2 linked regions of the Diceros bicornis minor genome follow. The protein of the gene in region 1 interacts with the protein of each later gene in a pairwise test. Links are inferred from orthologs where the notes say so. Each region holds a gene or a part of one and is shown on either strand. Other genes may lie near its edges.

What was found.
Region 2: the proteins of GRB7 (region 1) and LAX1 interact in binary tests that used the Homo sapiens proteins (3 or more experiments, as listed by UniProt). The two-hybrid records come from large-scale screens. The link is inferred for Diceros bicornis minor from reciprocal best matches to the Homo sapiens genes GRB7 and LAX1.

What each region holds. Positions count from the first base shown.
Region 1 is NC_080757.1:39,383,315-39,399,741, reverse strand, and holds the start of GRB7 (growth factor receptor-bound protein 7), read right to left. Parts: upstream 6,687-16,427; 5' UTR 6,378-6,686; intron 6,348-6,377; exon of another isoform or gene 6,117-6,347; intron 2,041-6,116; 5' UTR 2,036-2,040; coding exon 1,884-2,035; intron 1,789-1,883; coding exon 1,635-1,788; intron 1,454-1,634; coding exon 1,297-1,453; intron 1,170-1,296; coding exon 1,048-1,169; intron 956-1,047; coding exon 878-955; intron 538-877; coding exon 400-537; intron 62-399; coding exon 1-61. Other genes in the region: MIEN1 (migration and invasion enhancer 1), read left to right, coding at 10,562-10,650, 10,752-10,849, 11,311-11,387, 11,471-11,554; ERBB2 (receptor tyrosine-protein kinase erbB-2), read right to left, coding at 13,035-13,390, 13,534-13,786, 14,077-14,265, 14,471-14,568, 14,971-15,117, 15,444-15,519, 15,638-15,793, 15,928-16,113 and 1 more. UniProt on the Homo sapiens protein: Adapter protein that interacts with the cytoplasmic domain of numerous receptor kinases and modulates down-stream signaling. Promotes activation of down-stream protein kinases, including STAT3, AKT1, MAPK1 and/or MAPK3. Promotes activation of HRAS.
Region 2 is NC_080743.1:101,882,897-101,898,942, forward strand, and holds the start of LAX1 (lymphocyte transmembrane adapter 1), read right to left. Parts: upstream 6,997-16,046; 5' UTR 6,749-6,996; exon of another isoform or gene 6,408-6,748; 5' UTR 6,301-6,407; coding exon 6,212-6,300; intron 3,640-6,211; coding exon 3,530-3,639; intron 3,096-3,529; coding exon 2,985-3,095; intron 2,426-2,984; coding exon 2,340-2,425; intron 503-2,339; coding exon 1-502. UniProt on the Homo sapiens protein: Negatively regulates TCR (T-cell antigen receptor)-mediated signaling in T-cells and BCR (B-cell antigen receptor)-mediated signaling in B-cells.

The sequences.
Region 1 (16,427 bases):
GGGTCACCACATATGCGTTGGACTCGTTCACGTCTGCTACGTACTGCAGGTGCCTAGGATCCTGCACAGCACGGGTGAGCAGGACTTGTCACAGGCAGACCCTATTCCCCTACTACTGCCCCCTAAGCCAGTTGGAGAGATTTCAGGCCCAGAGAGGGGCAGAGAAGTGCCCCAGGTCACACAGCAAATAGAAGTAGAGCCAGGACTCGAACTCAGTTCACCTGCCTTTCCCCCAGCTACCTCCTGGGGCAGGTAAACTGGGAGAGAAAGAGGAGCAGCTGAGGGTCACAGGGCCCAGGGGGAGAAAGGTCCAGGAGTTCCAACAGGGAGGGGGCAACTCCTAGAAGGACCGGGGATGGGGTATCTGAGGGGCTCGGGCTGTCACCCTCAAGACCTCACCTTGGAGGTGCCCTTGGTGGAGTAATAGAGCCCAGACCGGCGCAAGAAGCAGAAGAAGCGTTTCCAAAGCTTGCGTCCTGACCCCCGCAGCTGCAGAAAGCCCTGGATCTCTGGGCAGCTGCCTGCATTCAGGAAGTTCTAAGGCCAGAGGAGAAGAAGAGGGTGAGAGGCCTAGAGGGGGCCTGACATTCACACACACACACACACACACACACACACACTCACACACACCCCCAGGCCTTCAAAGGACCCGCCTTTATGACAGGAGGTGCTCCACATGCACTCATTGTCCCCATTTAACAGATGAAGAAACTGATGCTCAGGCAGGGAAAGGGACTTATCCACGGTCCCATAGGACATAGGACTGCACTGGGCTCTTTCCATCACATAGAGGGGAGGCACAAGGCTTAAGGGCCGAGAAACAATGGGCGATCCTGGGGAATCGTGAATATGCTGTGAAATGGGGATGTCCCCTCACCTGGATGAGGTCTTCGTGGGATATGCCCGTGTGGGCATCAAGACAGCTGGAGACCATCTTCTCTGGGAACAGGGACTGCTGGGGGAGAAAGGAGTCAGCACTCAGGGATTGAGGGTCCAGGTTGGGGATCAGGGTGTCCCAGAGCCCAGACTCCCCTCACACACACTCACTGGGGAGCTCTTGAACAGTTCATACTTGGCGAAGTTTTTCCGGAAGACGAAGCGGCTATCTCCGCCAATGGGCCAGGCGGCCTGCACTTCCACCACCGACTCATGGTCCTCCAAGCCCCGCTCTGCGGTCAAGGGCAAAAAGCAGGGGTCAGTGGAGACGAGCCAGGCCCCCCCAGATGAGCCACCTGCCTAGCCAAAGATGTGAAGTATTGCCTTCTAGCCTAGGCAGCCCCCTGCAGCCCAACTCACCCAGCGCTAGATGGGGGTGGCACTCCACCAGCCCCCAGTTCTCATCACTCAGGGCGTGAGCTCTCTGCACCAGCATTTCGGACACGTAGCGAGCTGTGGCACCCGCCGCCACCTCCACCGACCGGCAGGCCCCATCTTCGCTGTACACCTTTACTACCTGCACCCCAAGAAGTGCAGATGACTTGAAGAAGGGCAAAAGGTGATTCTTTCCCTTCCTGCACCTGTTATACTCTCAGGGACCCCTGACCAAATCCCCCACCTTCATGGAAGTGGGGCTATATCCACCCAGTCCCGTCACACCCCCATATCCCTGCCTCCTCTTTCCCAGGACAACTCACATGCAGGCGGCTGGCGTCTCGGGAGAGCAGCCCCCTTGCACTGCAGGATCCCCCGAGAATGGGGGTCTGTGAAGGAGGACTGCAGAGCTCAGGGAAGGGGTTGGGAATGGAGGGTAGAGAGCTTGCCCGCAGCTCCTCCTCTCGAAGAAGTTTCCTGTGGCCAAGGTGGGGAGGGATCGACTGCAAGCTTCTACGTATAACCCAGCACTGCCCCCCCAGCCCCTCCTCAGTCCCAGCACCCCATTGTACCTGCTGTTTGGAATGGGCAGAGGCTGGGACCTCTTCACCTCCCCAGGCAGAGGGGTGTCAGGAGGTGGGGGAGTCCCAGGAGGGGTGCCGGGGGCCAGGTACAGGTCTTCTGGGGAGCTGCTGGGATGAGGTGGAGACAGACCCAGCTCCATGACATCTGAAGGAGAAGAGGGGGCTGAATGCAGCTGCTCTTTTGCCCTTGTCCCAGGGAGAGGGGCCAAGAGGACCCGGACCTCCCGACCTCATACCCCCCTCAGAGTTTACACTGCACCTCAATGCTCCCCCTCGAACTGGAGTTTCCCTGGAGCCTTTCTACCTGGAAGGGTAGCATGAGCCCATTTTACACAAGGGGACACCGAGTCCCAGAGGAGGAAGCATCCTTGCCCATCACAGGTGACCCAGGGAGTGGAACCCGGTGTTTGGGCTCCAGGTCCAGTGCTCTTCCTTTAGCCCCAAGTTGCCCAGGGGAAGAGCTAAGGGGGTCCCCCTACCACAAGCTAGGCAGCAGCAACAGACTCCACAACCCACAGACTGTCTGGGGCTCAGGCTCTCAGTGTCAGGGCACAGGGCCACCCCTCCATCTCCAAGCATGAGGCACTCACTCCTCTGGGCTCTGCCCCGGGTTTTTCCAGCACTTCGTTGCCAGACCTGGTTGCCAGAGCCTGTTGTGGCAACGCCTGCCCAAGTGCTGAGTGATGCACAGAAGGGGAGAAGGAGGTGGGGAAGGACAGAAACTAGGAGGGCAGGAGGCGGGCTCAGCTGGGCTGCAGTGGGAGGGAGAGGGCCAGCCTGGGGGCCCTTGCCCCAGCAGCTCCCAAACCTTGTGTGCCCTCCCCAGGTCCCTCCTCCTGCCCAACTTTCTTTTTTTTTCCTCCTCCCCAAAGCCTCAGTACATAGTTGTGTATCATAGTTGTAGAGTTCTAGTTCTTCTCCGTGGGATGCCGCCTCAGCATGGCTTGATGAGCAGTGAGTCGGTCTGCGCCCAGGATCCAAACTGGTGAACCTTGGGCTGCCGAAGCGGAACATGCAAACTTAACCGCTGTGCCACCAGGCTGGCCCCCTGCCCAACTTTCTTGAAGCCCCAATGCCAGAGCCATCTCCTCTGAGAAGCTTTCCTGGATTTTCCACATGCAGACCGAAGGGCTCCCTTGCCGCACTGTGCAGCCTCTGCCCCAACTACTGTGCACCTGTCTTATCCACCCACTGGTCTGAAGACACCTGGCACTATTAGGCAAGGCTGGGGCCTTACCCATGTCTTCTCACCCACAGGCGCTGCACAGGCACCTGGGACGAGTAAGGATAGGAGAGAGGGGGCAAAGATGTCCACTGGGCATAGAGGCAGCACAAGCCCCTCCTCCACAGGAACCAAGACCCCTTTGGCTGGGCAGAGACCCAGGAGGGCCTGGGAGAACTCATCAGTTCCAGCCCCCTGCCCGCTCTCCGGCCACTGGGCCAGTGCTGTTAGGCTGCCTGGGGTGCCCTGGGATTGCCCTCCCAGGACGGGGCAGGCCCCTGACCCTTAAGTGAGGGCATGAGGGGATTTGGGGGACAGGTGAGTCAGGGTGGGGCGGGACAGTACTGCCTGGGGCTCTCCATTCAACCTTGACTCATCCGAACAACTTCCTGGCTTAGGAGAAACACAAACAACCCTGCCTCTACCCACCCCCTCCACTCCTGCCCCCATCCTACCAGCCTGGGAGGAATAGGGGAGGCACAGGGCAGGGAACAGGATAGGGGAGAAGGAGGAGGATGCGGGGCCTGAGGCTCCTCTGACATCACCTCCTCTTCCCCACCCTTGGCCTACCTCCGACTGCAACTGCACCAGTCCAGGTGGGACCTGCAATCTGCCCCCAGTCCTGTAGCCACCACCCAGCCCAGGAGCCCCCTCACACAGGAAGGGGAGAAGAAAGGCCCGGCCCGGATTCAGAAGCCCATCTGGAGTGGAGCCGACCTCCCAGTGGTGCCCCTGGCTCACCCAAGGAAACGCACAGCACTGCCTCTCCTGTCTGGGCCCTACCAGGCTTTCATTCTGCTGCTGCTGCCCACCCCTAGCACCCAGGACTCAGAAGGCCCAGGGGAGGACTCAGAAGGCCCAGGGGACTCGTCTGCAACACCTCTGGGGGATGAGGGTCCTGTTAACACACTTTCTTGGGTGTCCTGGCCAGAGGGGTGCCACAGCAGCAGGAGGGGAAAGTCAAAACACCCAAGAGGACTGACACAGGCAGACAGGGAAAGGCCTGGAGGGAGAACGAGGGAGGGGGCTCAGAGTCCTGTGGTGCAAAGGGCAAGACACACCCACTATCGAACATCAACAAACATCAGTACAGCAACACCAAAACACAATGCCCAGACTCCCACCTTCTGTCTAACCTCTGGCAAACAGCCCTGGTGACTTCATTCCGGGGAGGACTAGGGGGAGGGATGGCAGGGGCCACCCCCACCACGAAGTCAGAGACCAACAGAGGAGTGGGGGCAGGAATCGGGCAGGAATCGCACAGTGTTTGGAAGGGGAGAGGGGAGTAGATTTAAATCCGATTAGAGTCTGGGGTCAGAGGGCAGAAGGGCCGATTTAAGACTTGGGTTTTGGCTTTACATCCCTCCACGCTGCCCTCCAGACCCTTCTAGGCAAAGAGGAGTGGGGCAGTCAGGACAAAAGAGATGAGATGGGAGGAGAACGGGGTCCTAGCTGTGGGGCCTGGGCAGGCCCCCTCCCAAGAGATCTGAAGCTTCTGTTGAAACTGACCCCCGAAATCAATCTGTCCCCTCCACACTGCAGCTCCAAACTGTGGCTTCCCTAACCGCCTCTCCTGCCCCGGTGGCTCCGGCCCCACCCTCCTTCCCGCCCTCCCAGCCTCCTGCCTCCTTGTTTACTTCCTGAATCTTGCCCCACCTGGCTGGCCCCAAGGGCGGGTGGCAGGGCCCAGTGTTTAGAGCCGATAGAAAACAAGGCCACCTTGGGTGCTTCCAGGGTGGGGGGAGGGGCTGGTAGGGCAGAGGCCTGGGCTGGGAACCTGGAGGTGGCGGAAAGGCCCCCAGTCTGGCCCAGTACTCCACGTCCCACCCCCATCGGGATTTATTGTAGTGGGGAAGGCTTAACCTTTGGGGGAGCTCTCAGGGTGCAGGGCCCAGGTGAGGAGGTGGGGAAACCCCTGGGTCACCCAGAGTTGGGAGCAGGGCCCAGGACCCTGGGGCCCCGCCCACTCTCTCGATCAGGAAAAAACACCCAAGGGGGTGCGGGGGCAGCTCTTTTAAAGTTTAATTTGGGAAGAATGCTAGACTGTCTGTGGAGTTAATCATTACAGGCTGCTTGCCTTCATGGAGGGCCCCCCCAGCAGGATATCAGGGGGAGAAGGGAGAGCAGAGTCCAGGATAGGCGACCAAGAGGGGGCATTCTTTAAGGGACAGTGGGGTTGGGAGGCCTTCCAATGGCGGACAGGTGCATTCTCCATCCCCAACGTGCCAGGGAGACCCCCACTCGGGTCTTTCCCCAGACTATTCAAACAGACAAGACCATCTGCCCCCCAACACCACAGACTCTCCCTAGGCCCCACTGCGCTGCAAACCCCCCCCCCCCCCCCCCCCCCCCCCCCCCCCGGCATCGGCCCCTCCAGCCTTCCGAGCCCACTTCATTCTGAAGCCGGGAGGGATCCCCGGGCCTATCCCGCCCCAGCCCCCCATCTAAGGACAGGACCCTGTGTTCCCGGAGAGACGGAGCTCTAGCAATTTAGAGAATCCCTCACCTTTACTGCCCTCCAAACTGGAGGATGCCCCCCTCCCCCCGCGGAGACGTCGGTGTTTAGTAAAGACTTTGGGAAACTCAAACTGGGGTAAAATCAAATTAAGCAAAGGAGTGACCCGGGGCAGCTCCCTCGATATTCGGACCCTCTCCTAGCTCTCTTTCTGGGAATGTGGGGAGGGGCTAGTTTCAGCGGCAAAGCGCGTCTCCTGGAGAGAAAATCTGAGATCTTACTTTCCCATCTCCATCAGCTGGTTTCTCCGGGGGGCTGAGGAGGCGGGTACAGAGAGGGAAGGAAGGAATAAGGAGTACAGGAAATGAGAATTTGGGAAAGACTGAGGGCAGATGGTGAGGAGGGAAAGGGCGGGATGGGAGACTGGAGGAAAAGAAAGTGAGGCCGTCAGAGTAACACAGCAGGAGGCCGAATCTTTCCATATTGACCCGGGACCTTCCGGAGCTCCCCACCCCCAAGATGAAGTGATCGCTTTGGTCCTTACCTGGACCCCGGGCGTTGGTACACCTGGCTGGGGCCACTGGTTTAGGGAGGGAGACGCCAGGCCCTTAACTACCTGTCCCCCTCCTGCCCCCGCCCTTGGCCTGACATCACTGAGGGGGGAAGGGAGGGGAGCCAGGCGGGCCCCTGTCCGCACACCTGGGCAGCCAGCCAGCTCCTGGCCCAGAGACGGGCACAGCTGGGGCCCTGGTGCGGCTGGGGGTGGGAGCAGGTTGTCGTCTGGGACCGATCTCGGTCCCCTTACCTGGAGGAGCCGCAGCAGGAGTAGCAGGACACAGCGTCCGAAGTCCGGCTCTGTCTAGGGACCCCAGATTCGAAATCGACTTGATTTCAAATCCACTCCCTCTTCTCTACAGGTAGTAGGAAGGTGTCCCGACTTTGGACGTTGAAGTGGGAGTGGGGGGAGGGTCAGTCCTGTGTGTCCGGGCTCCTGGCCCAAGGAAACTAAAATTATCTTGGGCAGGTGGGGGCGGGGCCGGGGGAGGGGCCTGGGAGGAGGAAGCACAGGAGCAGGGGCGGGGACTCGCTGACTACGCTGGCTGGAATTGTTTTCGCCCTTCTTAGCCCGGCAGCAGGTGCCAAGGGAGAAGCGGGGAAAACAGTCGAACTGAACAGCCTCGAGAGCGAAGATCTAGAGTCCTCACGACCTGGGAGGGAGGGGCTGGGGGCTGGAAGGTAGGGGAAACGCCCCGCCCACTCTTCCGCATGCCCCTCCTCAAACCTGGTCAGTTCACTGGCCAAGCTAGGGGGCCTGTCTGCTGCTCTGGGTCTCACCTCCTGGGGAAAAGAGCACTCTGCGAACGAGGGAAGCCAGCCAGAGGGTCGTCCATCAACATGGCCTGCCCCTTGACCTCCTGCCACAGTCTAGCCAGCCAGGCTGTACCCTAGCCCCTCAGAGGTACCCAGGGTATATCCTCCCTTCTGAACAAAGTCCAGGGTCTCAGCTTCTTCTTCTGAAATAGAAGGGTTTAGGCAGGGTCTCTTGGTGGGAGGAGTGATCTGGGGAAAGCTCTGGCCAGGTGCCAAGGGACTCCCTTAGAGCGATCACGTTAGCTCTCTCCTTCAGCACTAAGCAAACACGAGAGGGCCGGGAGGGGACCTGGGAGGCTGAGATCAAAGGCAGCAGCCTGAAGTGGGTGACAGTTGGGTAAACAAACATCCACAGGGTGATAAGAGGTCTGCCCTGGGGGACCATTAAGGAGTGGCTCCAGCCTCAACTTTCTCCAAACTGGGTTTCCCTTGAAAAACCAGGTTAAGTGAACCAAGCAAAGAAGTCGGGGAGGGGGCAAGGTCACCTGGGCCATGGAGCAGCTTGTGCAAAGCACAGTAGACAATTCACTCAATCATTCATTCCTTCATTCATTCAACTAATATTTGTGAAGTACCTACTATATGCCAACCCCATGCTTGGTACTGGGAAGACAGTGGTGAGCAACAAAAACAGACTCTGCCCTTATTCTCACGCAGCCCAGTCGGGGAGACTGATGTTAATCAAAGAACACACAATTAATAAATGACAGGTGACAACTATTCTGGGAGAATGACTCACCCAGGGATTTACGGAAGACTTCTCTGTGGAAGTGATGATGGAGCAGAGGGGAAGCTGTCTGGGACAGGGAGGAGGTTGGAATTGGTGGATGGGGAAGGGAGGGCACCTTTCATCATGAGGAAACAAGTGCTAAAGCCCTTGGCAGGAGGCAGGAGGGGACACAGCATGCAGAGGCAGAGTGGGGGCGGAGGAGAAGGAAGGAGAGGAGGCCACACAAGTAAGCCCGAGCAGGTATGGAAGGTATGGGGAAAGACAAGTGTTTTGGACTCAGATGTTTTTCTCAAATTGTGGCCTGTGACCACCTGCCTCCAAATCTCCCTCGGCTTATATGAAAAACAGATCCCTGGGCCCTTCTCCATCTACTGAATCTCAGTCTCTGGGGCCAAGACCCAGGAATGTGTGGTATTGACAAGCCCTCAGGTGGTTGTTCTGTAAACCAGGTTTAAGAGCCATCCATCCTGTCTGTCCAGACTGGCAGGGCCTATGGGCAGAGGCCAGACCTGCAAGGTCTATCTGGGCTTATGTAGAGGCATGGGGGAGGAGGCAGATTTCTATTTTGGAAAGATCACTCTGGATGTCAAAGGATAGGTTGGAGAGGGAAGCCAGACTCAGAGGGCTGAGGGCTGTAGAATTCCATTTGTATGGCTTTCTGGAAGGGGCAGAACCATAAGGACAGAAAGCAGATCTGGGGTTGGGGAGGAGGGCGAAGGGTTGACAATAGAAGGGCACAGGGACTTGTGAAGAGGTAATGGACCTGTTGTGTATTTTGGTCATGGTGGTGGATGTACAAATGAGCGTGTCAGGACTCACAAAGAAGTACACTCAAGAGGGTGAATTTTACTGTGTATAAATTGTATATGAATTTTTTAAATTAAAAAAGAACAACAAAGAATAGATTTATAGATCAATGGAACAAAATCAAGAGTCCAAATATAAACCTTTAAGTTTCTGGTCAATTGATTTTTGACAAAGATGCCAAGACAATTCAATAGGGGAAAGGATAGTCTTTTCAATAAATGGTTCTGGGGACAATTGAATATCCACAAGCCGAAAGATGAATTTATATCCTTACCTCACATAATGTACAAAAATTAACTCAGAGTAGATCGTAGACTTAAATGTAAGAGCTAAAACTATAAAACTTCTAGAAGAAACCATAGGAGAAAATCTTCGTGACCTTGGGTTAGGCAGAGATCTCAGATACAACAGCAAAAGCACAAGCAACAAAAGAAAAAGTTGGTAAATCAGACTTCATCAAAACTGAAAATTTTTGCACTTTATAAGACACATTAAGAAAATTAAAAAAAAAAAGTGTCAAAGACTGGGAGAAAATATTTGCAAATCCTGTATCTGATTAGGGACTTTGTATCCCGAATAAACAAAGAACTCTTATGAATCAATAATAAAGAGACAACCCAATTAAAAATAGGCAAAAGATTTGAATAGATGTTTTAAATAAGATATACGAGTGGCTAATAAGCACATGAAAAGGTACTTAACATCACTGGTCATTAGAGAAATGCAAATTAAAACCACAAGAGGTACTACCTCACACCCACCAGGATGGCTATAATCAAAGAGACAGACAACAAGTGTTGACAAGGTAAGGGGGAAACAAATCCTCGTATATTGCCGGCAGGAATGGAAAATGGTACAGCCACTTTGTAAAACAGTTTGGCAGTTTCTTAAAAAGTTAAACATAATCTTACCATAAAACCCAGCAATTCTACTCCCAGGAATCTACCCAAGAGAAATGAGAACACACATACATACAAAGACACTTACATGAACGTTCATAGCAGCGTTATTCAAAATAGGGAAAAACTGGAAACTTCAAATGTCCATCAACTGGTATTAATAGATAAACAAAAGGTGGTATAGCCATACAATGGGATACTACTCACCAACAAAAAGGAACTACTGGTACATGCTACAGCATGGCTGGACCTCAAAAACTTTATACTGAAGAAGCCAGAAGCAAAAGACCACATTTTGTATCATTCCATTTATATGAAATGTCCAGAAAAAGCAAATTTATAAACAGAAAGCAGATCAGTGGTTGTCTAGGGCTGGAGCTGGGGGCTGGATTGACTGCAAACACGCAGGAGGGACCTTTTTAGGTTAATAGAGACGTTCTGTAACTGGATTGTAGTGATGGTCGCACAACTTGATACATCACTGAATTGTTTAAAAATTAACGGTTTAAAGTGAGTGACCTGTTAGTATACTACAGTGGGAAGGAAGAGGCAGCGAGACAGCCTCCATTTCTAGAGTTACAAAATGGTAATAACGATGCCCGCCCTGTAGGGAGGCTGGGAGAGACGGGAGTTGCAGAAACTGGGTGCACGTGATGGGAGCACAGAGCCTCAGGAGCAGGAGACCCCAAAGCCTAAAGCTTCCGAATGCAGGGGGGTGGCGGTCTCTGCCCCAGACTGTGCCTACAGTTTAGAGTTTTAAGAGTCAGAGTATTTGGGTGTGTGACTATGGGGTGGTTTAAAATACCATCAACATGTTAGCGACAAATGGCAACTATTCCATACCAAACCCCAGGCCCTGGGTCCTCTTGCCCCACCACTTTGTCTTCCTTTTGTAAACCGGCATGCGCCTTGCAGTCTAAGATATTTCATTAGATTAAATAGGCCGTGAAGCCCGGCAGACACCAGCTGCTGGACAAGCCCCGCTCTCTGAGAAGCCACGCCCGGGAAGGAGGTCTGGACCGGTCCGACCCGCTCGGAGCCCTCGAGCTGGGATAGAGGCAAAACGTAGCAGCAACCGCGGCCTGCAGGGGGCGCCCGAACGTAACGCGCGGCCCCCGCCCCGTCACGTGTCCGCGGCGTAGCGCACACCCGGAAGCAGCGGCTGGAGCCGAGCGGGCCGCAATGAGTGGGGAGCCGGGGCCGCCGTCGGTAGCGCCCCCTCCCGGGGAGATCGAACCGGGCAGTGGGGTCCGCATCATGGTGGAGTACTGGTGAGCGGCTTTGGCCGGTGGGGGGTCCGGACCGGACGGGAGTGGGTCCCCAGAGGCCCCTCTCCCGAAACCCAAGCGGACCCCAGGTATCGTCTCCGTAGTGAACCCTGCGGCTTCGAGGCGACCTACCTGGAGCTGGCGAGTGCCGTGAAGGAGCAGTATCCTGGCATCGAGATCGAGTCGCGCCTGGGGGGCACAGGTGAGGCCCGCAGAACACCTGCTGAGTCAGTGTTCTAAATCACAGCTCTACCACTTTCTAGCTCTGGCATTGGCTGTTATATAGTGTCCAGCAGTGTCTGGCACATAGTAAAATATCCAGCCAACTTGAGTCCCCTTCCATAGGTGAGGGGGTCACAGATGAAGCCTGTAGAGAAAAACCGGTGAGACTACAGAAGTGTCGGGTTGGGGGGGCGGGTGCTCTTCATCGAGTTACGAAGCCGAGTTCAAAGGAAGGACACACAGGTGATGCTTAGGTTTCTTTGGCTTGACCCAGGGTTGGGAAATGGCTTCAAGAATTACAAGTTTCTAATGGGGTCAGTGGGGGACATGAAGGAGCCTACGTGAAGCCTAAGGACTGTGGAGGGACTCCCTCTGGAGGGACTCCCCTGACTTTTGCCTGTTCTCAGCATACAGTTCATTCATCGGTTTATTTAATACCAGGGGCCTTTGAGATCGAGATCAATGGACAGCTGGTGTTCTCTAAGCTGGAGAATGGGGGCTTTCCTTATGAGAAAGATGTGAGTATGTGCAGTGTTGGGAGGCCCCCTGATTCACCCTGCCCCTACAATGCATCATCCCATTCCACATCTCTGCCCTGTAGCTCATTGAGGCTATCCGAAGAGCCAGTAATGGAGAACCCCTAGAAAAGATCACCAACAGCCGTCCTCCCTGCATCATCCTGTGACTACACGTGACTACGCTGGTGCCCCTTTGGGTACCAGGAGGGAATAGAAGCTTCAGTGGTCTTGGGAGTGGGAATACAGTGTGACTACACTGGTGCCCCTTTGGGTACCAGGAGGCAATAGAAGCTTCTGTGGTCTTGGAATGGGAGAGAGACCTTCTCCGTGGACATTTCCACAGCCACCTTATACCCCCTTCCCAGGATCAGTGCCCACAAAAACCCACTCCCCTGTCCAGCTTAGCCATACCTGTCAGATGCCACCATAGTTCTTATTTTCCACTAGCCCTGGGCAATGTGAGCTATTGGCAATAAAGTGGCACTACAAACACCTATGCCAACTAGTGTCTATTTTTATGTCCAGTTTGGGAATGTGTGTGGGGGGGACGGGGTGCACAGTGGCCAGCCCAGCCTTTATACCACCAGGGTGGCTGTGCTGGGTGGGTGGGCTTTTTCTGGATAGCTACTTCTAGTTCAGTGATCTCCTCTCTCATAACCAAGGCAAGGAAAATGAGTCACACAGTAGACACTGCCTCTTCTTTCCTCTACCCCTCCCTCCCCTGCCCCTCCCCAGAGGGGGAAATTATCCCATTCTGGTGGGTGGCCCTAGGAATTCATTTTTTGGTAAGCAAGAATGATCTGGTTGTCAAAGGGCTCTCAGATCAGAATCCCAACTCCCAGATCCCCCCAACCCAAAAGCCAGGAGACTGGAAGAGAGGCTCCTCAAACTTGCTGAAGATTCCTATCCACTCCCTCCAGGAAAATAAGAGTTGAGTGTTAAGTCAGGAGGTGAGCAGTAAGGGATGGCACAGAGCCACCCCGACATAGGCTGGTGCCCAGCTGTTTTCCAAAATATATTTGCCAATGGAGAAAGTGGGTGTGGAGAAGGGCCATCCCTCCCCGAAACCCAGGGGCACCCCTTCCCTTCCACAGTACCCACTCTCCCCTGAGTCCTTATTTCATCTTAAAAAAAACAAAAACCATAAGTAAAAACAAAACAGAAAAGCACTCTGTACAAGCACTGGATCTGGGGGCTCCTGCTGCTCTCTTCTTCCTGGGGGCAGAGTTGGGTCTCAGGGACAGTCTGTGTGGGCTGCTCTTGTTCTTAGACACTCCCTTGGGCCCTTCCCCTCCTAGGCCCAGCTTCCCTCAGTCCTTCAGTGCCCAAGATCTGAAAGAAGAGGGCCAGGCTGAGCTGCTCCCTCAGATGAGCAGACTGTGTCTGTGGCATCCATTGGACCCTAGAGTCTGCTGGGGCAGGACTCTAAAATCAATCAAGACTCCCCAGTGCTGCCCCCTCTTCCAACCAGGCTGGGCCCCTCTGAGCCACCTGGGAATTGGAGGAGGAAAGAAAGTTCCTGGTATGGCGGGCTCCCCTGGAAGTGGTCCAAGGGCCCTCTCCCCGCCTGGTCCCAACGCAGGCCAGAAGGCAGGCCTTCCCCACTCTGAAGGCTCAGCAGGGCCTCAGCAGACTTGGCCTTTGGGCTCACACTGGCACGTCCAGGCCTAGGTATTCCGGGTTCTCTGCTGTAGGGGTCCCTTCAAAGGTGCTGGGCGGAGAGCCCCGCTCTGATGGGTCCTGGTCCCAGTAATAGAGGTTGTCAAAGGCTGGGCTGAAGGCTGGAGGAGGGTGGGGCTGAGAGGCAGCTCTGCCCCGGGGTGCCAAGTACTCAGGGTTCTCCACGGCACCCCCAAAGGCGAAAACGTCTTTGACAACCCCATTCTTCCCTGGGGAGAGAGTCTTGGGCCTTTCCAAAGTGGCACCAGCAGGTCGACAAGGAGACAGAGGGCCCTCTAGGGGTGAGGGGGGCTGTGGCCGAACCTCTGGCTGGTTCACGTATTCTGAAAAGGCAAGAAAAGGGGGCTTGTCAGGGGACAGAACCCATGTGTCCCGGCTACTACCACTGCCCTCATAGTGGGCCCTGGGCCAAGCACCCCCAACTCCCCCACCTCCCAATCTCTCAGCTCAGGCTTGGACTCCATACCGGGCTGGGGGCTGCAGGACAGGGGGGCAACGTAGCCGTCAGTCTCAGAGGGCAGGGGTACTGTAGGGTCCTCGCTGTACCGTTGTAGAGGGCTGGGGTCATGTTGGGGGAGGCTCTGCAGTCCCTTGGCTGCCCCCATTCCCAAGTCACCATCAAACACATCAGAGCCAGCCCCTTCTGAAGGCGCCAGTGGAGACTTGGGGGGCTCCTCCTCGGAGGGCTCCAGCCCCAGTGTCAGCTCACCACCGCCACTCTGGGGACGAAAGAGAAGGTCATGATGGGAGTCATTCATGGATCTGGGATAGAGACTCCACAAGGTGACAGGGTCACAGGAGATGAACAGAAGTCACCTTTGGGTTATGACACAGTCACTGTGGAGAGAATGGGGTCACGGGTTAGAAAGCAGTAGGAATCCTCGTTAGGGATAATGGGGTCTCCATGAGAGGAGATGGTTGGGGGGACATCAGAGAAAGGGACCCTAGTCCATTGGGGTCGGGAGAGGTAACCAAATCCACCCACCACAGTGTGAACGAGGGCACTGACCCTGGAGGATGAGCTGCGGTGCCTGCGGTGGGCTGTGCCCCCAGCACCGGGGGCAGGGTCTGGGCAGAAGAAGCCCTGCTGGGGTACCAGGTACTCCTCAGCATCCACCAGGTCCCCCATGTCGTCATCCTCCAGCAGCGAGCGGTAGAAGGTGCTGTCCAAGGGGCTGGCAGGGCCCAAGTCCTCATTCTGGGGAAGAGGGAGACAGAGGATGGCAGCCTCTCCCCAGCCCAGTGTGCAGCCTCCCAGGAAGGCTTAGGGAGGACAAGAGGGATGACGAGTCAGGCCAGGGCTGGGCTTGGAGGCCTGGGACCCAGGAGTCATCTCCCTTTCCACCCTCTGCAGGAGAGCGCTCTCAAGTCATAGGCAAGGATGGGGAGGAAATGCCCAATACCTGGATGACCACAAAGCGCTGGGGGTCCCTGGCCATGCGGGAAAATTCGGCCACCAACTCCCGGAACCTCGGCCGACATTCAGAGTCAATCATCCAACCTGGGGGCGGGAGGGAGCTCAGCATCTCAGCTGTGGCTGCAGCCTGCGTGCCGCCCCGCTCCCTCCCTCTGCAGTCTAGTCTAGACACCCCCAGTTACTAGAGTTCAGAGCCCTCGGCTGGTAGAGAAGAGGTACCAGACTCAGGGCCTGAGCCAGAACATTTGAGAATCTCTATTAGTATCCCCTTTTATTTTGCATATAGGTCTCTTTCGAGCTGGTCCTCTAGAGCTCCTCTGGACTGGTACTGTAAAAGGGAAGCGAGACCCTTTTGAGGCTCCTTTAACCATACCAGGGCTCCTAGGTCCACATCCTGCTCTTGGCCCCCTCCCATGACCTTTGTAGGCCCCTCCACCCAGGACCTCCCACCCCTCCTCCAAGCAGCTGGCACAGCTCAGCACGCACATTTGACCATAATCATGTAGACATCAATGGTGCAGATGGGGGGCTGGGGCAGCCGTTCCCCCTTCTCCAGCAGGTCAGGGATCTCCCGGGCTGGGATCCCATCGTAAGGTTTGGCCCCAAAAGTCATCAGCTCCCACACAGTCACACCTGGGCAGAGATGAAGTTAAGAGGTGGGAGAACCAGAGGGAGCTTTAGTGTACTGAGCCCCAAAGCCTCTGCCCAACAGCCTGGTACCACAGGGGAAGGAGGAGAGGGATGCGATGCCAAGGGGCAGGAGCCACCCAGTCGTTCCCCAATCCCTGGGAAGTGCACAGACCCTGGCAGGTTGAGGTACTGGCAGCCCCTCCCTTCCCTCTCACATTCACGGTAAGGTGTCTCTTAATTCTCCCCATCCTGGCTCTCATCCTTCCACCAACATCTCCCCCAGGGCCACAGCTCCTTGTCCACCCCTCCCAACCCGCCCCAGCACGCACCATAGCTCCACACATCACTCTGGTGGGTGAACCGCCGGCGGAGAATGGATTCCAATGCCATCCACTTGATGGGTACCTGGGAGATCAGAGGAGGAAGTCCTTGAACTAGGTGTGGTGGGGAGGTGGCTGTTCTCAGAGTTCTCCCAGAGGCCAGACCCCACTCCACCTTGCCTCAATCTGCTCCCTCCTCTAACCTTGCCCCCATCCGCGTGGTACTCTGTCTCATCAATGTCTAGCAGCCGAGCCAGTCCGAAGTCTGTAATCTTGACATGGTTGGGACTCTTGACCAGCACGTTCCGGGCAGCCAGGTCCCTGTGCACGAGCCTCACGTCCTCCAAGTAACTCATCCCCTGGGATCAGAGGCATCCATGTGGACCACGCTCTGGCCACACCCTCCCAGGAAATCTCCCCAACCTAGCCCTGCGTGGAGACAGAGGCTTACCCCCAAGGGCACCTGCAGAGCCCAGGCCCCCTAAGAGCATACCTTGGCAATCTGCACACACCAGTTCAGCAGGTCCTGGGAGCCCAGGCGCCCACGGTGTTCTCGGACGTGGTCCAGGAGGCAGCCATAGGGCATAAGTTGTGTCACCAGCTGCACTGTGGAAGTCAGGCAGATGCCCAGGAGGCGGGACACATATGGGGAGCCCACACCAGCCATCACATATGCTTCCTGGGGGCAAGGGTACACACTGAGAGGGTATGGGAGACCACAAACCCCCAACCACCACACACCCCTCCTGAGGGCCAAGGCAGCCTAGGGACCCTCACCCAATCCAACCCCATCCATCACAAACCAGAACCATGGCCCACAAACTGGGGAGGTTAAGAGTCGAGGTTTGGGGAATCACAAAGTGTCTCCCCAAACCCAAGGGAAGAGAGAGCCCAGAGCCCAGACCAGCAGCCAGGGGGTCCCTCCTGTACTCCCGGTTGGAGAGGGTGCAGAGGCTTACGTCCAAGATTTCTTTGTTGGCTTTGGGAGATGTG
Region 2 (16,046 bases), on another chromosome or scaffold:
GGACATTTTCATAATCTCTGCAGCACTGAACAGCCGCCCAGGGCTGCTTCCCTTGAATGGCCCCGAGATCCAACCCCGCCATGTTGACATAGTCATTTGAGGTCTGAGAAGAATCTTCCCCATCGCTGAGTGGATCACTGCTCTCAGTTCCTGGAGACCAAAAACTGGGGCAGTCACTGGCATTCCCACAGCCCTCGTCTCTTTCCTCAGGAAACTCCAGCTCCTGGGCTCTTGGGAGGTCAAAGAGGTTCCCAGGAGGGCTGCTGGTAGAAGCCAGAGACTCAGCAATTTCTTCTGCTGTGGGGACATTGACGTAATCTCTCGAATCCTCTGAAGAAATGCTCGGGCAATCTCTGGAAGCTCCAATGTTGACGTAGTGTGCTGAAGGAGTGAGGTTCTCACACACGTGGGGCCCCATGGCATTGTCATAGATGCCCACTGCATACCCCACGGCATAAGGATGGGCTCTATGCGTCTGCAAGGCAGTGCCTGCTTGGGAGGGCTGTGAGTAAGAAAAGAAAGCTAGTGACAGGATGGAAGCAGAAATATGGACGGAACCTTTCCTCCTCCCTGCCCAGCACTGCTATCGGACAGTTCCTTCACTCAGCTCTCCACCCGGGAGAAAAGCTCTAGATCTGGGATCTCAAACTGCGAGGCTTTAGATGCTAGGTAGGTATGAGTGAAGTGAGCTGAGTCTAAGGAAAGCAACAGTGTAAACGTGATGATAAATTGCAACTGGTTTTTGGCACAATGTGGAGTGGGGGTGGGGTATGATGAACTGGAGGGGCTGTGTCTCAGAGCACCCTGAGAGGTGATTTAGCACAGTGGCTAATGGTAGAGACTAGGCTGAGACTGAGGGTGCAAATCCCGCCTCAGCACTCGGTGCTGAGTTGGGGCAAGTTACCTAAACTCTCCGTGCCACAGTTCGCTAACCTGTAAAATGGGGATAATCTTAAAATCTACATCATGACTTTTTTTGTGAGGAGTGAATGGATTACTGTGAGTAAAGTGTTTAGATAGCTCCTGGCACATAGAAAATACTAAAAAATGCCCGACGTTATTAGTAAAGGGGCGGTTGATACACACAGTCAGCAGATTACAGCTTTTTAGGGATGCTGGTCTGATGTTCCCAGAAGCTCTGAATTTTCAAGAAAGCTGGACATCCAGACTTTAATGTGAAATCTTTTAGAGATTTAAATGTTGGCAACTGGTTCAAAATGTTCTTCAAACACTACAGGGTCCAAGCCAAACATGTCTGTGGCTTACGTCAGTTTGGGACTTAAGCTCTCGAAGCAAAATCCCCTCTGAGCCCACCCGAGCCCGGAGCCAGCTTTGGCAGTGGGGTTTCCTCCTCCCTGCCCTTTATCAGCCACTCAGACTTGCTGCCCAGGAAGTCTTAGAGGCAGGAGCAGAGCCCAAGGATGGGACATGCGAGAGGAGGAGGAAGCAAAGGTGGTAATGTGGCAGTGGTAACGTGGAGGTGTGGAGGTGGCCGCGTGGTAACTGAACCTAAACCTCTGGGTAATAGGAGGCTGGGTGACAACAGAGTCATCAGCAGCAGCATGACTGCACTTACCCAAGGATGACCACAAAACCAAAGGGATTATTTCTTTAACAAGCAAACAAGACCTTATCTATGGAAATGAACACCCTGCTCTTCAAAGTAATCACTCTCCTGTCCCTGATGCCTCTGCCTCAAACAGTGTGGGGCTCCTGCTTGGGGGCTGCCTTCAGAGCCAGATCCTGAGACACACGGGTTTTTTTCCGTTTAATTATTCCAATTAATAACAATTGGAACCTCAAAGGATATCAGACACTTGCTGTGATCAGACACTTTCTACACTAGTTACAGTGCTGAATGACTTAGGAATATTTCTGCTATTGAGGAGAATTGAAACAATTTGATACAGGCCCCAGAAGTAAGTCCAAAGCAGGGTTTTAAGGGTGTTTTGCACACCAACTGGAGTGTTGGAATATTTGGGTACCCTCCTGAGGTGATGACTTTGAAGGGGACAGCACCCATTTGGATAAGTATGTTATCATGTCTTTGTTAAAACAATCCATTTCAGTTTTAACATCATGTCCTTGAATTCATGCACCCTGGTGCCTTTCTTAAAATCCCAAGCACTTGCTCCTATCTTTCTAAATTTTTCTCCTTGGGCAGTGGGGAGATGCTGAGGCTAGTCTTTCCAATTTATTATTAGGGCTGCAGGCCGACTGCCAAAGGACATGCTGTTTGCGGCGAAACAAGATCTGAGACCTGGACCTCTTTCCCCTCAGTTCTTCTGCCAGAGACACGTCATTTCTCCCAAGGGCTTGTCATTTCACTTGACTCTTACCATGTGCTCAGAGGGAGGGCTGTCAGAATTTCTGGAGAGGAGGCTCTCGGTACTGAAAATACGGATACTCCTCGGCTGATGTCTCCCTGAGAGGACAGAAAACAATCCTGAAGATAGCCCGTCCTCTGAGTGCTTCAGCCCCAACATCCCCTCACTGTGGGTGGAGTGGGTGTGCGTGCTGTCTGGTGTTTGGGGCCTGGTGCTCTGTGGTAAGAAGGGCAGAGCTGCAGGGATGATGTGTTCTGAGCCCTCCTCAGACTTTGTGGTGCTGGAGGACACGAGAGTAGAGGTTGGGGAGGCTGGAAATGGGGCTCCTGGGGCAAACCGTCTCTGTCTGTAATGCGGGCGGCCATGTTCTCCTTCTGAGTGTCTTTCCCACCTCTAGACACACCCATCTGTCCTCTGCTGCCTTGACATCAAGAAAAACTCAAACCCCAAACCTAGATGGCCCCCTGCTCTCTTTTTAGAGCTTGCTAGGCCTCCCCTGGAGCTGTATCTTGCAGTCTATCCATCCCCTTCTCCATGTACTCTGAAGGGCAGAAAGGTCTGGAAGTTCAGAGAAAGTTGCTTCTGGGTGGTGAGATGTGCATCTGGGGGCAGAAGTGTCATTTGTCTGGACTCCATGCTTGGGAAAGGAAAACCTACCCAGCTCTTCTTGCCTGCGGGGCAAGAGGTCGTAAGTATTTTTGGCTCGTTGTCCTTGTCTAGGCAGAGTCAGCGAGGGCCCAGCAGTAGTGCGGAGATAAGGAGCTTGCCCTGCAAGGCAGTGAGAGAGGTGGAGTCACAGTGGGCTGGCTACACAGGATGTGGGGACCCGGGGATGACACGGTCCCTGGAGACATTCCCCACTCTCATCAGGTATCATAAAAAGTACATTTTTAGACTTGACCCTTTCCATTTGAGTTGAAGAATAGGGGACTCGTGCACAGAAGCAGGAAGAGGAGACAGGGGTACAGGGGTACCAGGGCAATGACTCAAAATGGAACTCCAGTCAGCACAGAGCCTTTGAGCCACGATCTTGAGGGAGCCATGATCTTAGGATCTTGAGCGAGACAACGACCAGCATGTCAGATAAAAACAGAGGCCTCCCCAGTGCAATAGTTTATCCCTGGAGAATAAACTGGGCTTTAAACGCCAGGCTGGATTATTGATCCCAGTGTGTCTCAACTTTGGACAAACAAGGGACTCACACTTCTTCCGTTTATTCCAGTTCCACAGGACGCAGAAAACCGTGATGACCAGGAGGATGGAGAGGAGTCCCGCGAACCCAGAAAAGATGTTGCTGCTTTGCTCTTTATCTCTATGAGGAAACAAGTGCGATGCCCAGCCATAGGGGAGTGGAGGAGAAGATAGTTCCCTCAGGAGTTAGAGCCCCAGGATTTGCGATGGAGGCCTGTGAAGGAAAGCTGAAGGGGGGTGGGCTGTGTGGTGGAAGAGAGGGTCATCTCTTGGATGGAGAGAAATTGGACACAGGAGAAGGGAACTATCCCTTTTGAATGCCTACTGGATTCCAGGGGTTTGCATGTGAAATTTATTTAATCTTTACAACAGTCCTGTCTCTCTTGTGGCCAAAGAACCTGAGATTTAGACTCAGAAATGTAGAGGAACGTGTCAAAGACCTCATGGGTGGGAAGGGGCAAAGATGGATGTGAGTCTAGGTCTGTTTGGGCCCAAGGGTTGTGCTAGCTCCAGAGCACCGCACTGTCCTCCAAACTCGCCACATCAAGTCCATCTGCCCCTGCTTCCCCTCATCCTGCTCCTGGGCTTCCTGTCCTGCTTGGAGGAGAGGATTACTCAACTTACAGCTACGGAGTGGCCCTGTGACAGAGTCCAGCTTGCGTGCTTGAGTGACCCCCACAGCACCAACCTGAGAGCTGGTCTCCAAGCAGCACTCCGCTGTTCTGTGTAATTTAACCAGTGCAAATGCACCAAGCAAGGCCACGCTGCTTGTAATTCTCTGGCAGGCCTGGAGTTCCTGCTCTGCTTTGCCTACTGTAACAGGAAGCAGCCAATCGAGGTTCCAAAAGGAATCACTAGCAGACATGCTACCCCCAAATATTAGAAACCAGGTCATCTAGCAGGGAAGGTTTTTGTCCTCCTGAGTTCTAGGCTTGTTTACCCAACTTTATACTGGAAATTTCCACCAGGCTGCCCAATAGACATCTCAAACCAAATATGTCTAAAACAGAACTCTTGCTCTCCCCCCACAAAGCTGCTCCTCCTTTGGTGTTTCCCATCATCTAGTAGCTTGGTCAAGACCCTGGAGCCATACTTGACTGCTCCCTTTCATTCATGACCCGCTTCTAGTCAACCAGTAGATTTTGTCTTCTCAACTCCTGAGCATCTATCCCAAACCCAGTCACCTCTCGCTCCTCCACTGCCACCACCCTGCTCCAAGCCACTGTGTGTTCCCCATGGACCTTTGCAGTAGCCTCCCTAATGGGTCTCCTTGCTTTCACTCTTGGCCACAAAATACTATCTTCACATGTGAGCCAGCGTGATTCTCTCAACAGTAAATCAGATCGCGCCCCTCTGCTTGCAACCTTCCATGACTCCCCATCACACTCGGGATGACACCCATGGTCCCTCCCCAGGGAGGAATTCCAGCACCTTCTGTTCTGGCCTCTGTGACCTTCTGACTTCATTTCCTACCCCTTTCCCTCTGACTTTGACTGCCAGGACTCCTGGCTGTTCCTTGACCACGCAAAGCACAGTCCTGGCTCACCTGCCGCTCCCTCTCCCTGGAGCCCTCCTCTGCAGCTGTCTGCGCAGCTTGGGCCCTCATTTCATTCAGGTCTCTCCTGAAATAGCACCTCCTCAGACAGGTGCTCCTGGGCCACACCCTGTTACTGTCAGTCCCCATACTCTCCTCTGGTGTTTCTTCCTAGCACTTACGACCAATGGACATTATAGTCTACATTCATTTGCTTCTCTGCTTATCTCTGAGTTGCCCACTTGGCTGTCAGCTCCAGGAGGTCATGGACTTGTCTCTCCTGCTCACTGGGTGCCTGGAACAGTGCCTGGACTTATTGGGGCTTGATGAGTATTTGTTAAATCAACAAGTGAGTGAATTCATAAACGAGTGAATGAATATAAAAATAGTTTTTTTGGGGGGTGAGGGCTGCAGGGTTCTGACAGCTTTATTAATTCATCCCCCATCAATGCTCTTGTCCACCTGCAAATGACATGTGTGTGTTTGTCATGGTAATAACATTTATTTCCCCAAACTAGAGTGATTTTAAATTTATTACGGTTGAGTTGTACTGTTATCATAGCACTGAAATTTATACCTACTAGTGTTCCTACCCTTTCAACTGCTGATGGACTTTTTATTTTTGTTAGCCCAATGTTGAAAGTTTTAGCTGTAAAATTTACATCCATGATTAGTTCTGTGAGATTTTGTGTCCTAAAGACATATCTTTATCGTATCTATGATTACATTTTTCATTCATGGCAAGTTTTTAGGACCTAAAAACACATCCTTGAGATAAGTGGGCCTTTTGTTTCCATCATGGCAGGACCTACTTGTTTTTTGAGGAATGATTGGTGGGATCAGGGACAGGAAAGACTGAGGACAGTTATCAGGACCTCAGGGAGGAGAGAAGTCCACCAGGCCAGGCAGCCAGCTCTCAGAAAATCCTGTGTTGTCAGAGCCTTCCTCTTCCCCAGCAGCTCCCTCTTCTCCTCGACACCTCTTCCTTTCCTCCCAGCAGTCCTGAGCAAACCTCTCTGAGCCTAGAGTTTGGTGGTCTCAGTGGACCTGAGCCTGGTTGCAAGGGGTGGCAGCACTGCTGGGGTAGAAGCTGCCAGGGTAGAGCAGGGCCCTCTGTCTAATCAAGGGAGGGTGGAGCTCACCACCCAGAGCCACTCACCTGTCCAGGCTGCTGCGAGTGACCTGCAGAGTGCCGGGCTCCGCCGTCCTCCCTCTGATTTCTGAGAGGGTTGGGGTGGTGACAGCCATTGTCACAGGAACCTCTCTGGCTTCAGCTCCTCCTTCTAAGCCTCCTTTCAATCACAATCAGCCAGCCAGCATGTCTGCCACTTTCCTGGCTCTTCCTAAGTTGTTGACTCCCAGCAGAAAAGGCAAAATTGGTTTGTGTTTTACATATCATACTGTGTGCTATAACCACTTTTTTTAGTAGACAAGAATGACAGAAATCCTCCTGGTTTTCATGTCTTCCAAACCCTCCCTAATGTACAACTCTTAACTCTCAAAATTTCTTCTTAAATCTTTATTCACCAAAGTCTCTCACAAAAAAAGTCTATTGGTTTTTATTTCTTCCTTTCTAAAGCTCCCAATCTGTCTCTCTAGAACTTTCTTTCCTCCAACAAACTCCCTGCTTTGTGCCTACCCCTGAAATGTCAGGCTGAGTTGACCCAACATACGAAGACAACAGGCTTGGTTCTACCTGGACGCGGCTACAATGCCCACTGCAGAGGCGAGGGCTCATCCAGCGTGGGCTCCCCCGGCGAGGCGGCTCCGGGAGAAGCTGTGGTCTTTGCCTCTGGTAGAAGTGTGAGGGGCACCAGGGCGAGACTGCCAAGAGGCCCTAGAGAGGCACCGTGAGAAGCTTCTCTTCCTCCAACCCCCAAAGCAGAGAGAAAAAAGCAAACACTGTGCCGGAATGGAAACAGAGAGTCAGTCACAGGAAGCGACACCACCAACGTGCTAACGGAGCGTGGGGCACAGGAAACGCTGCTCAGCTCTTACGAAGAGAAGAAAACTTGTCTGTGCCCCTGTTCCCTGGGTCAGCCAGGTGTGCCGTGCTCTGTGGGAGTGTGACTGAGGCTGGAGCAAGGTGGTGGGGTATCTGTGCTTGTTCACCCTGGGTTTCTGAGACGTCTAGTGTTTTATAAACCTCCAGGTTTATCATGTTTTTTAGCAGGTCTAAGGAGCCTAGGAAGACGCTTTTTAGAAAAACGCAGAGCTCTGGCACCTGCGGCTGTTCCATGGGCAGAGAGTCCAGAGGGGGACAGGTTGTTTTCATAAATGCTTCCCCAGTGATTTTAATGGAGCTGGTCTGTGTTCCACCTTTGAGAACCTGTGCTCTGGGTTTGACCCTCAGAGTGGAGCTGAGGCTGGGTTAGCGGGGCCCTGGAGGCCATCTCTTCCTGAAGGCCTGCCTGCAGTGGCCCCTGAGTGCTGGCTGTCTCCCTTGCAGGGCTCTTGGAGAAGATCCATCCCAGGCCTGCTTTTTGTACACCCCCATGTGCACCCCAAGTGTGCCAAACTTCAAAGATTGCTCCAGATTTGTTTCTAACTCCCTTCCCCTCACCAATCTCCTGAAACTCGCTTTGCATCTTGGGAGAGTCCAAAGAGAAGGGGCCACTAAGACTATTATGAGGGTGTGAAGAAGAGCCTTTGACTTCACTTTCCACAAGGAAATGGATTCCCAGGTGGATGGTAGGGAAGATAGGTGATGCCTCCTCCCTATGCCTCTCTCCCACCTCTTCCCAGTGGACATCAAGGCCCCTGGCCTCCCTGAGCTGTCAGCCCCTGCCCTATGTACGTCTAGGCTCTCACAGGGCCCCCAGGGGAGGGGGCTGCAGGTTGGCCCAGGAAGGCCCCCCAGAGCTCTGCCATTCCAGGTCCTTGCTGCCTTCCTTCCAAGTAGCCTTACCTGGCAGGAAGCTCAGAGACAGCTGGTTCTAGAGCTGGAACCTGGGTCTCTGCCCACTTCTCCTTTGGATCAGGTCTGAGTAACAACTAGGACACCTCACAGGGAAAAAGACCAGCAGTCTGTCACACTGGGTGGTGGCCGGGACTGGTGGAAGAAAGAGGCCCTCAGGCCTGCCCTCAGCCACTGGTGCCAATAGGGGATGGTGTGTGAAGCGGGAGCTTAGAAGGTGGTACACGGGAAGGGTGAACCTCGGAGCTCTGACTGCTACTTAAAAAAAATGCTTTTCAAGAACGTCCCCCTGTGTGTGACCATCTTGAGTCCCCACTTCCCTCATCCACCAGCCTGCCTGAGTCAGACTAATCTCCCCTCCAGTCTTCTGATTTCCTCCTGCCCCCACACTTGAGGGAAACAGCCCCTCAAAGGAGGCTCGCAGGCTACAGGCCAAGCTCCGGGTTTCCAGGCCCCGGCTGCGCCCTCACCCTGCTCTCCATTCCCTCCCGAGGTGCCAAAACCAACCAACCTAAACACAAAATAGGTGTCTGAAATTATTCATCATAGTGTGGAAGACAATTCCTCCTTCTGGGAAACGGCGCTGTGTTTAGAGCGGCGTGCTCTTGTACTTGCCTTTCACCAGCCTCAATGATTTCAGGAGTTGAATGCGACTCACGATTCTAAAGTATTAAGACCGGCTTTAAATTGACAGAACCTATGCACCCAAGTGAGCAGAGCCCCTTGAGGGCAGGGGCTCCATGCTAACTCAGTGATGTTGCTAACAGCAAAACCTTTCCGAATCCTCTTTGGAAGACAGGTGCCCTAGGTGAGGAACATCAGCACGAGTTCAGATCCTAAATTACTACTTGGTTGATCTTGGGCAGGGCCTCCAACCTTTTTGGGTGTTTCCTTGGATGTAAAATGACAGTAATGACAGTGCGTAGGCAATGCTGTTGTGAGAAATAACGGGGCTAACAATGAAAAACGCTTGCTTAGGACTGGGCACATGCAAGAGCTCGTTAAATGGGGCTGCTATTATGTTATTCTCTCATTATGCATTAGGCTCATTTCTTTATACTTAAGGGACTGCTCGCTCTTCCTCGCCTGATGCTTAGCCCGCCGACCTTCCATGTGTTACTTCCGTCTCGAAGCACATACTTGCGGGCCGTCTCCCATTGCACAAGAGGCCCTGGCTTTGCACGTAAGGCAGACGCGGTCCCTGCCGCCGTGCAGTGGTCATCTCGGCTGGCCGCCGCCTTGTACTCACTCTGCATTCCAGGCGGACCCGGCTTGCTGTCACATTTATACTCTGGGCCTTTGCACGACAAGTTCCGTCATTTTAACAGCAGTTTCTTTTTCTCTTGTAAAATTCCAATAAAATCACATTTTAAGAGTTTATACTGGTTATTTCTGGGTTGTGGGGCTTGAGGTATTTTGTTGCTTTCTTCTTTGGGCTCTTATTGCTTGAATTATTACAAAGATCAAGTGTAATTTTTGTAAAAAACAAAATTGTTATTAAAAAAAAAATGTGGCCCAAGTGTCAGCACCTCCGTGAAGCCTTCCCGTCCTGAGAGCCGGGTTCTTGCTCTTCTGTGTCCCCACGGCACCATGCGTGATAGCACCTCTCAGTTGTTGGGATTAGTTGTTTAAATGTCTGTCTCCCCAAGTAGACTTCGAACCCCTTCAGGGCGGGGACTGTGTTGTATTTATTGTTCTCTGGCTTTTGGCACAGTGCCTGACCATAAGAGTTAATTGGGCTCTAAGAAGTTCTCCTAGGTGCTTATTGCTGCTGTGAATTTATGACCTGGGTGTGTAATGGGGCGAGATACTGGGAAATCGATCAGTGTCTAGCCTGTTTTCCTGCTGTGCGCTCATCAGCCAAGTGAACACGGCAGGCCTGCACTGCCTCTCTCAGGAAGGACAACCTGAGGCCCGGTGTGTCTCCTTGCTCCAGGACGGGGTTAACAGCCGCTTTTGTATTTCTAGGCCAAAAAATGCCAAAATTGCGTTGTGTGAAAGACAGCTCCAGCTAGGCTTTGTTTCTGAAGATTTGGGAGCTGAGACAACCACCGCAGGGTGATAGGTGGAGCCTTGATGGCGGCAAGCCCCACCCACTCGTTCATCTGTGTCCTGGAGGCCTTCTCCAGTGCAGACAAGTCTGAAACAGAGAACAAAGGCCGCGAATACCTTCCCTTTAAGTTAAAGTTCTGAGAGAGCAGGGTTAGGACAGAAAGATTTAGAAAGTACAGAAATATTTCTCTCACTTCTCTGCTTCCTGCCCCTGCTCCACCCAAGGCCCTTGGGGAGAGTGAGGAGAATTTGGAAGCAAGGAGTGTGAGCAGACAAGGGGATGGTTTCCGTTCCCCACTTAGGCTAAGCCCTGGTGGAGGAGGGGGGTTGGCATGGCTGACAGTAAGAGAACCCTTCCCTTAAGTCTGGTGACCTCTGCCTGCTTGGTCCTTCTGGAGTTCTATGTCTGGCAGCCTCCACTTGAGTCCTGGCAACCACAGAGCCGGAGTAGAGCCAGCTGGGAGGCACGTCTGGATGAGCACATGTCTGCTGACAGCCCCTAGTCTTGTCTCAGCCGGACGTCCCTCCCCCAGCCCACAGAAGAGAGCCCGTCTGTCCCCTGCTCCAGGAAGGAGGCAGCTCCTCAGCAGAGGGAGCAGGGTGGGCAGTCACATTAGGCATCGACGAGAGCAAAGCGCATCTCAGAAGAAACACCAAGGGCAGCTGGCGTGCCAACAGGAGTCGGAGGCTGGAACAGGGAAGGCACAGGTCAGGATGGTTTTCTTTGCTCCCTTCTTGTGTGAGTGAGTAGAATATCATTTCAATCATTTCATTAACCAGGGCGTCAGAAACAAGCTAGGGTGGCAAGCAGCATGTCTTAATTTAATTTTTTTTTTTGAGCAAGCCTTTTGTTTTCTCTTTTGTGTGTCATAGGAGAGCATGATGGTGGGGCGTGGGTTTACCTGTGGCCCTTGGTATTAGGCTGGGCCCACATGCGGCCTGTGTGCAGACAGAGCTGCTCTGTTCTTCCATTCTCCCTAGATTGCAGCCACATGAGAGCCAGCATAATCCCCTTAAAGTGCAAGATAGATCGTTGTGGTCCTCGGTTAAAACCCTCTAATGAATTCCCATTTTATGAAAGCCAACCTCATAACAGCTTACAGGTTCTGCCCCCACTTCCAACTCTCCATCTCTGAACTCATCTCTTTCACTTTCCCACTTAGTCACCCAGTTCCAACCACTGGCTTCCCTGCATGTCCTCAAACAATCCAGATCTCCCACCTTAGGGCCTTTGCACTTGCTGTGCCCTTTGCCTGGAATCTCTTTCCTCTACATGTTTACATAGCTCACTCTCTTAGTCCTTTCACATTTCTGCACAGACATCTCTCTGTCAGAGGTCTTCCCCGACCGCTTTATAGAAGAGCAATCCTCATGCTCTGTGCTCCCTATTTCCCTCACACTTTACTTCACTCCCTGGTCCTTGTTACCATTCGACATGCTCTATATTCGTTTACTCTCTCTCCTCCATGAGACAGTTCAAAGAGGGCAGGGACTTGGTTTTGTTCCCTGCTGTACCCCCACTGCATACAACAGTACCTGGCACAGTGAATACTCGAATAAATGAGTAGACCAGTATCCAAGAGGAGGAGACGAGACAATAAAAAACGACCGAGAGACCTCTCACAGATCTTGGCGAGTGCTAGCTAGTTTGATGCTAGATTTGATTTCATTTAGAAAAGAAATGAAACAGATTTCTTGTGCGTTAAAGGCTGTGGAACGATTTGTCTTTGTTGCAGGTGTAAGTGGCTGAGCCCCAAGTGAAGCCTGCCTGTGCACGCCCCGGTGTGCAGTAGTGTTCAGTGCACGCACGATAACGCTACATCCAGGGGAGACAGCACAATGAAAGAGAAATGCCAGTGAGACATTCTCCAATGGTTATCAGTTGTGATTTTAGACCCTCGAGTAAGAATGGGAAGAGTGTCAGCCTTGGAAGGACTCTTAGTTCACACAGCAAACTAGTGGCAAGGCCAGGATGGTAACTCAGGCTTGCTGCTTTCCAGTCCAGGCTCTTCCATCAGAGCGCAGATGAGCCGCGTTGCTCTCCTCTCTAATTTTATGCCAATCCATTGGGTTAGATCTCTGGATTTCCAAACTACTGCTCTTTCTACAATAGAATCAGTGAGACAACAATCACAGCATGCTGGACAACAACCACTAAGTTTTACTCTATATTACTTTTGCATAGATTGATAATTATAATGGGAGACAATTGAGACAGGATCTGAATTAGGCTTGCTTGTGTATTTAATCACACAACTTGCTGTTACATCATCACCCAAGTTTGGGTCATTTCAGCACTGATTATTTGATTTGTTAATTAGAATTGTAGCATTTCAGAGCCAGTGGGGACCTTAGAGATGGCTAGTTCAGTGCTTTTAAGCCATTTTTTAAAGCTACTGCTGGGCCAGCCCCATGGCTTAGCGGTTAAGTGCGCGCACTCCGCTACTGGCGGCCCTGGTTCGGATCCCAGGCGCGCACCAACGCACCGCTTCTCTAGCCATGCTGAGGTGGCGTCCCACATACAGCAACTAGAAGGATGTGCAGCTATGACATACAACTATCTACTGGGGCTTTGGGGAAAAAAAAAGGAGGCGGATTGGCAATAGATGTTAGGTCAGAGCCGGTCTTCCTCAGCAAAAAGAGTAGGATTAGCACAGATGTTAGCTCAGGGCTGATCTTCCTCAACACACACACAAAAAAGCTACTGCTGACCCGGAAGCCAAATATATGAAAAAAAATGCTACTTTTGTTGAATACATGTGGGCACTGAAGCATCTCTAAGGAATCCCTTTCAGATCTTCAAAGTGTAATTTGAAGATCATTGATGTAGTTCAACCATCTCCTTGTAGAGATGGAAAATCAAGCCAGTCAAGCAGTGGAGTGGGGTTCCAAACACGCATCTCCCGCCTCCCGGGCTGCCACACGTCAGGATCTTACTCCACCTCCCTAATTTTCCTGTTTTAGCTCCTCTACCAAAGGGTGGGCAGAAAAATATCAGCAGCAGTTTCAGTTCAAAGGTTTGGTAGGGAGGACGCAGGAATTCTCGACTCAAATGAAGCGTTTTGGATTACCATGGATGTATCTGTTCTCCCTCTGATATGGCTGAAGGTAATTGCTGGTTCCCAGCTCTCCCTCTCCAGCCTCCCTTCCTCTTTCATATAAGTTTTCATGTATATTTACTTTAAAAAAGGCCAAGACATGAAGACTTGAAGTTATAAAACACAAATCAGAGCCTTTCTTTGTAGTATTCCTGGGGCTAGCACAGCAACAAAAGTTAACCTTATTAATTGTGCTGTGTTTGGAGGATGGTCTACATGGCCTCCATTACAGGGGACTTGAGACAACTCAAGTGGTGCCTGAGCCTGAACCCAGGGACCAGGGCCATCTGAGAGCAGAGGCAGACGCACCTGAGTCTGATGTGATGGCATCCTTGCTCAGATTTCATGAGCAGGAGTCAAACTTACGATTGTAATTTGGCTTTCCAAACACATAGATCATTTAAGCTCTCATTGTGTGAAGTGGCATTCTGGTTTTGACAGCAGCCTCTCAGGAGATGGCAGTGGAGGCCATTCCAAAGAGACTGCATCCTTCTAGGCGTATTTCTTTTGAGGACAGGGAGGTGTTCTTTGAAACAAGTTTCAGAGGAGTAAAGACTTACGATTAGTTCCACATCAAACCCAGAACCCAGGAGCTACTACTTTCAAGGCTAAAGTATCCTGCCCTATGAATCTAGCAGGTTACTACCTCTCGTGGCTGAGGTTCATGTTGAGGACAACTGGATGTTAATGACACCACACAGCAAGATAGTAACATGTTTACATGTTTTATTTACAACAGGGTTTCAAAGTTATTTGCTGGTAAAGGACATGCCAATTTCATTCTCCTTCCTGCTTGCAGTGACAGGAAGGCCATGCCCCAATGGGCCCAGGTCAGAGGCTGGTCACCAGTTCACTGCTCCCAATGAATCATCTTTGGATTTGTCAGAGGAAGTCAGGGAGTTGCCTGGTTGTGTGTCCTTGGGAGGGAACCAGGCGGTTTTGGTGGAGAGCTTCAAACAAACTCAGTGACCACAGGGAGAGGATACGGTGGCTGAGAAATGGGAGACTCACAAACCATTACTAAAGATGGAGGGCAAAGAAATTATTTTTTTCTAGAATGAGGGGTAGGGAAAAGATGGAAGAAAAGAGCATGCTTTTTTCCATCTGCTAACTCAGGCCCAAGGGCCTGAGCTGACTTTACAGCCCATTAAACCAATGTCTTATTGGTCTCTGCCAGAAAGCCTCTGTGAAGCTTATTCTTCTCCATGCCCTACTGCACACTGGGTTAGGAGATGTGAATCCTTAAGATCCTGTCTGGCATAGCAGAGGCACCCATCTAGGGCCCAACAAAGACAAGGTGAGGGTAAGAGGGGAAATAGAGGGCCAAGCTTTAGAAAGGACTCCAGGGAGAGGGGTGTGTGTGTGTGTTGCATCCCTTGTTAGCAAGGGTATTTGGGAGGGAACTACAACAACAACAAAAGACTAGTTCTGTTTTGTGAATGACTCCTTTTATCAAATAAGCCCCAGCTTGTTTGTTATTCACTTGTTTGTTTATTTATTACCTTTCCCCAGCCCATTTTAAAGACACTAAGTGAGCAGTGTGCCTGTGCCTGTAGAGAGCAACCTGGGAGGCCTTTTCCACCAGGGCTGAGTCCTCCTGGAGAATCGGCTGTTAAAACAGCTGGGAGAATTTGGGCTGTTCTTCAAGACCATACTTTCTCTAAAGGACCTTGGGGAGCTGACAAAGTCCTTTCCTTCTTCAGATGTTTTAAAAAAGACCAGGGACTTGCTTGTGCCCCTGGATGAAAGCTGCAGGAAGGAGTTCTGAGTTCTGAGATATGAAAGCTCAGAACCTAAATGACCTGTCAGGAAGCTGTTTCGATCTGAAACTGGGGCCTAAGATCAGTCACGCTAGAGACTCAATGATGGAACAACTCAAACAAACACAAAACTTTGGAAGGCAGGGACTGGAGAACCTCAGAGGGGAGGTAGGGAAAAGCTGCTAACATAAGTGGAATGAATTATCCCAAAAGGTGTTTCATTAAAAAAAAGCAAAGAAAAAAGAAAATACTGCCAAGCCTGACTCTTACCCTTCCAAATTCACCCTTTTTCAAAAGCTCCAGCTTCACAGCTCCCTGATCATAAATTCTAACCACAAGCAGGCAGAGCAAAGCCTGGACACCAGGGAAATGAATCTGACAACCAGGGCCACGAGTCACTGGAGGGACGTGCTGGCAGAGAAGCATGTCAGGGTCCAGTGACAAGCTGAGTTCTTGGTTTGCACAGACGGGGTTCTTGACGTGGCTGTGGCAGATCCCTCTCGACTTCGACAGACACGCAGTGATGTTACCCCAGGTGGAGACACACTGAGGACAGCACAGTCACAAGTGGGCATGGGTTTTTATTCTCAGTGCACGGCACTACTGGTTTCTGCTCGTCAACAAAAAGCTTTATTGGTTCCAAAAAACTTACTCCTTTTTTCCTTCTTTTAAAACTCTTCTTTTATTCTTCCCGTCTCAGTGGAACAACATATTTGAACTTCAGATTTGCCAGTTTCTAGCATTTTTTTCTAAGAACCATATAAAACACATGCAAAACACTGTACAGAGGGTTTAAATAATATCAAAATGCAAATTCAGATTGGGTGCACTGTTAAGCTGAACTGCAAATTATGGCAATATACACTGGGGTGCACAGCGCTTTGATACCACCGTTGATTTGTTTATGCCATGCAGATTACAGTCAATCTTCTGTTTTGTTCATTTTTCTTTTTTATATAAAAATACCAGTGCTTGTTATACTAGTTACTGGAAAACAAAAACCTCAAAATTCCTATCTGCGTGCTGATTTGAAAAGAACAACGTAGACAGCTCTGTTGGCACATATACATGGCATATTCACAGATGGCATACACACATGTGGGAGAAGACAGGAACCAAAGGCCAGCTCAGCCCCAGAGCTCAGTGCCCTCCCTCTCTCCCCACCAA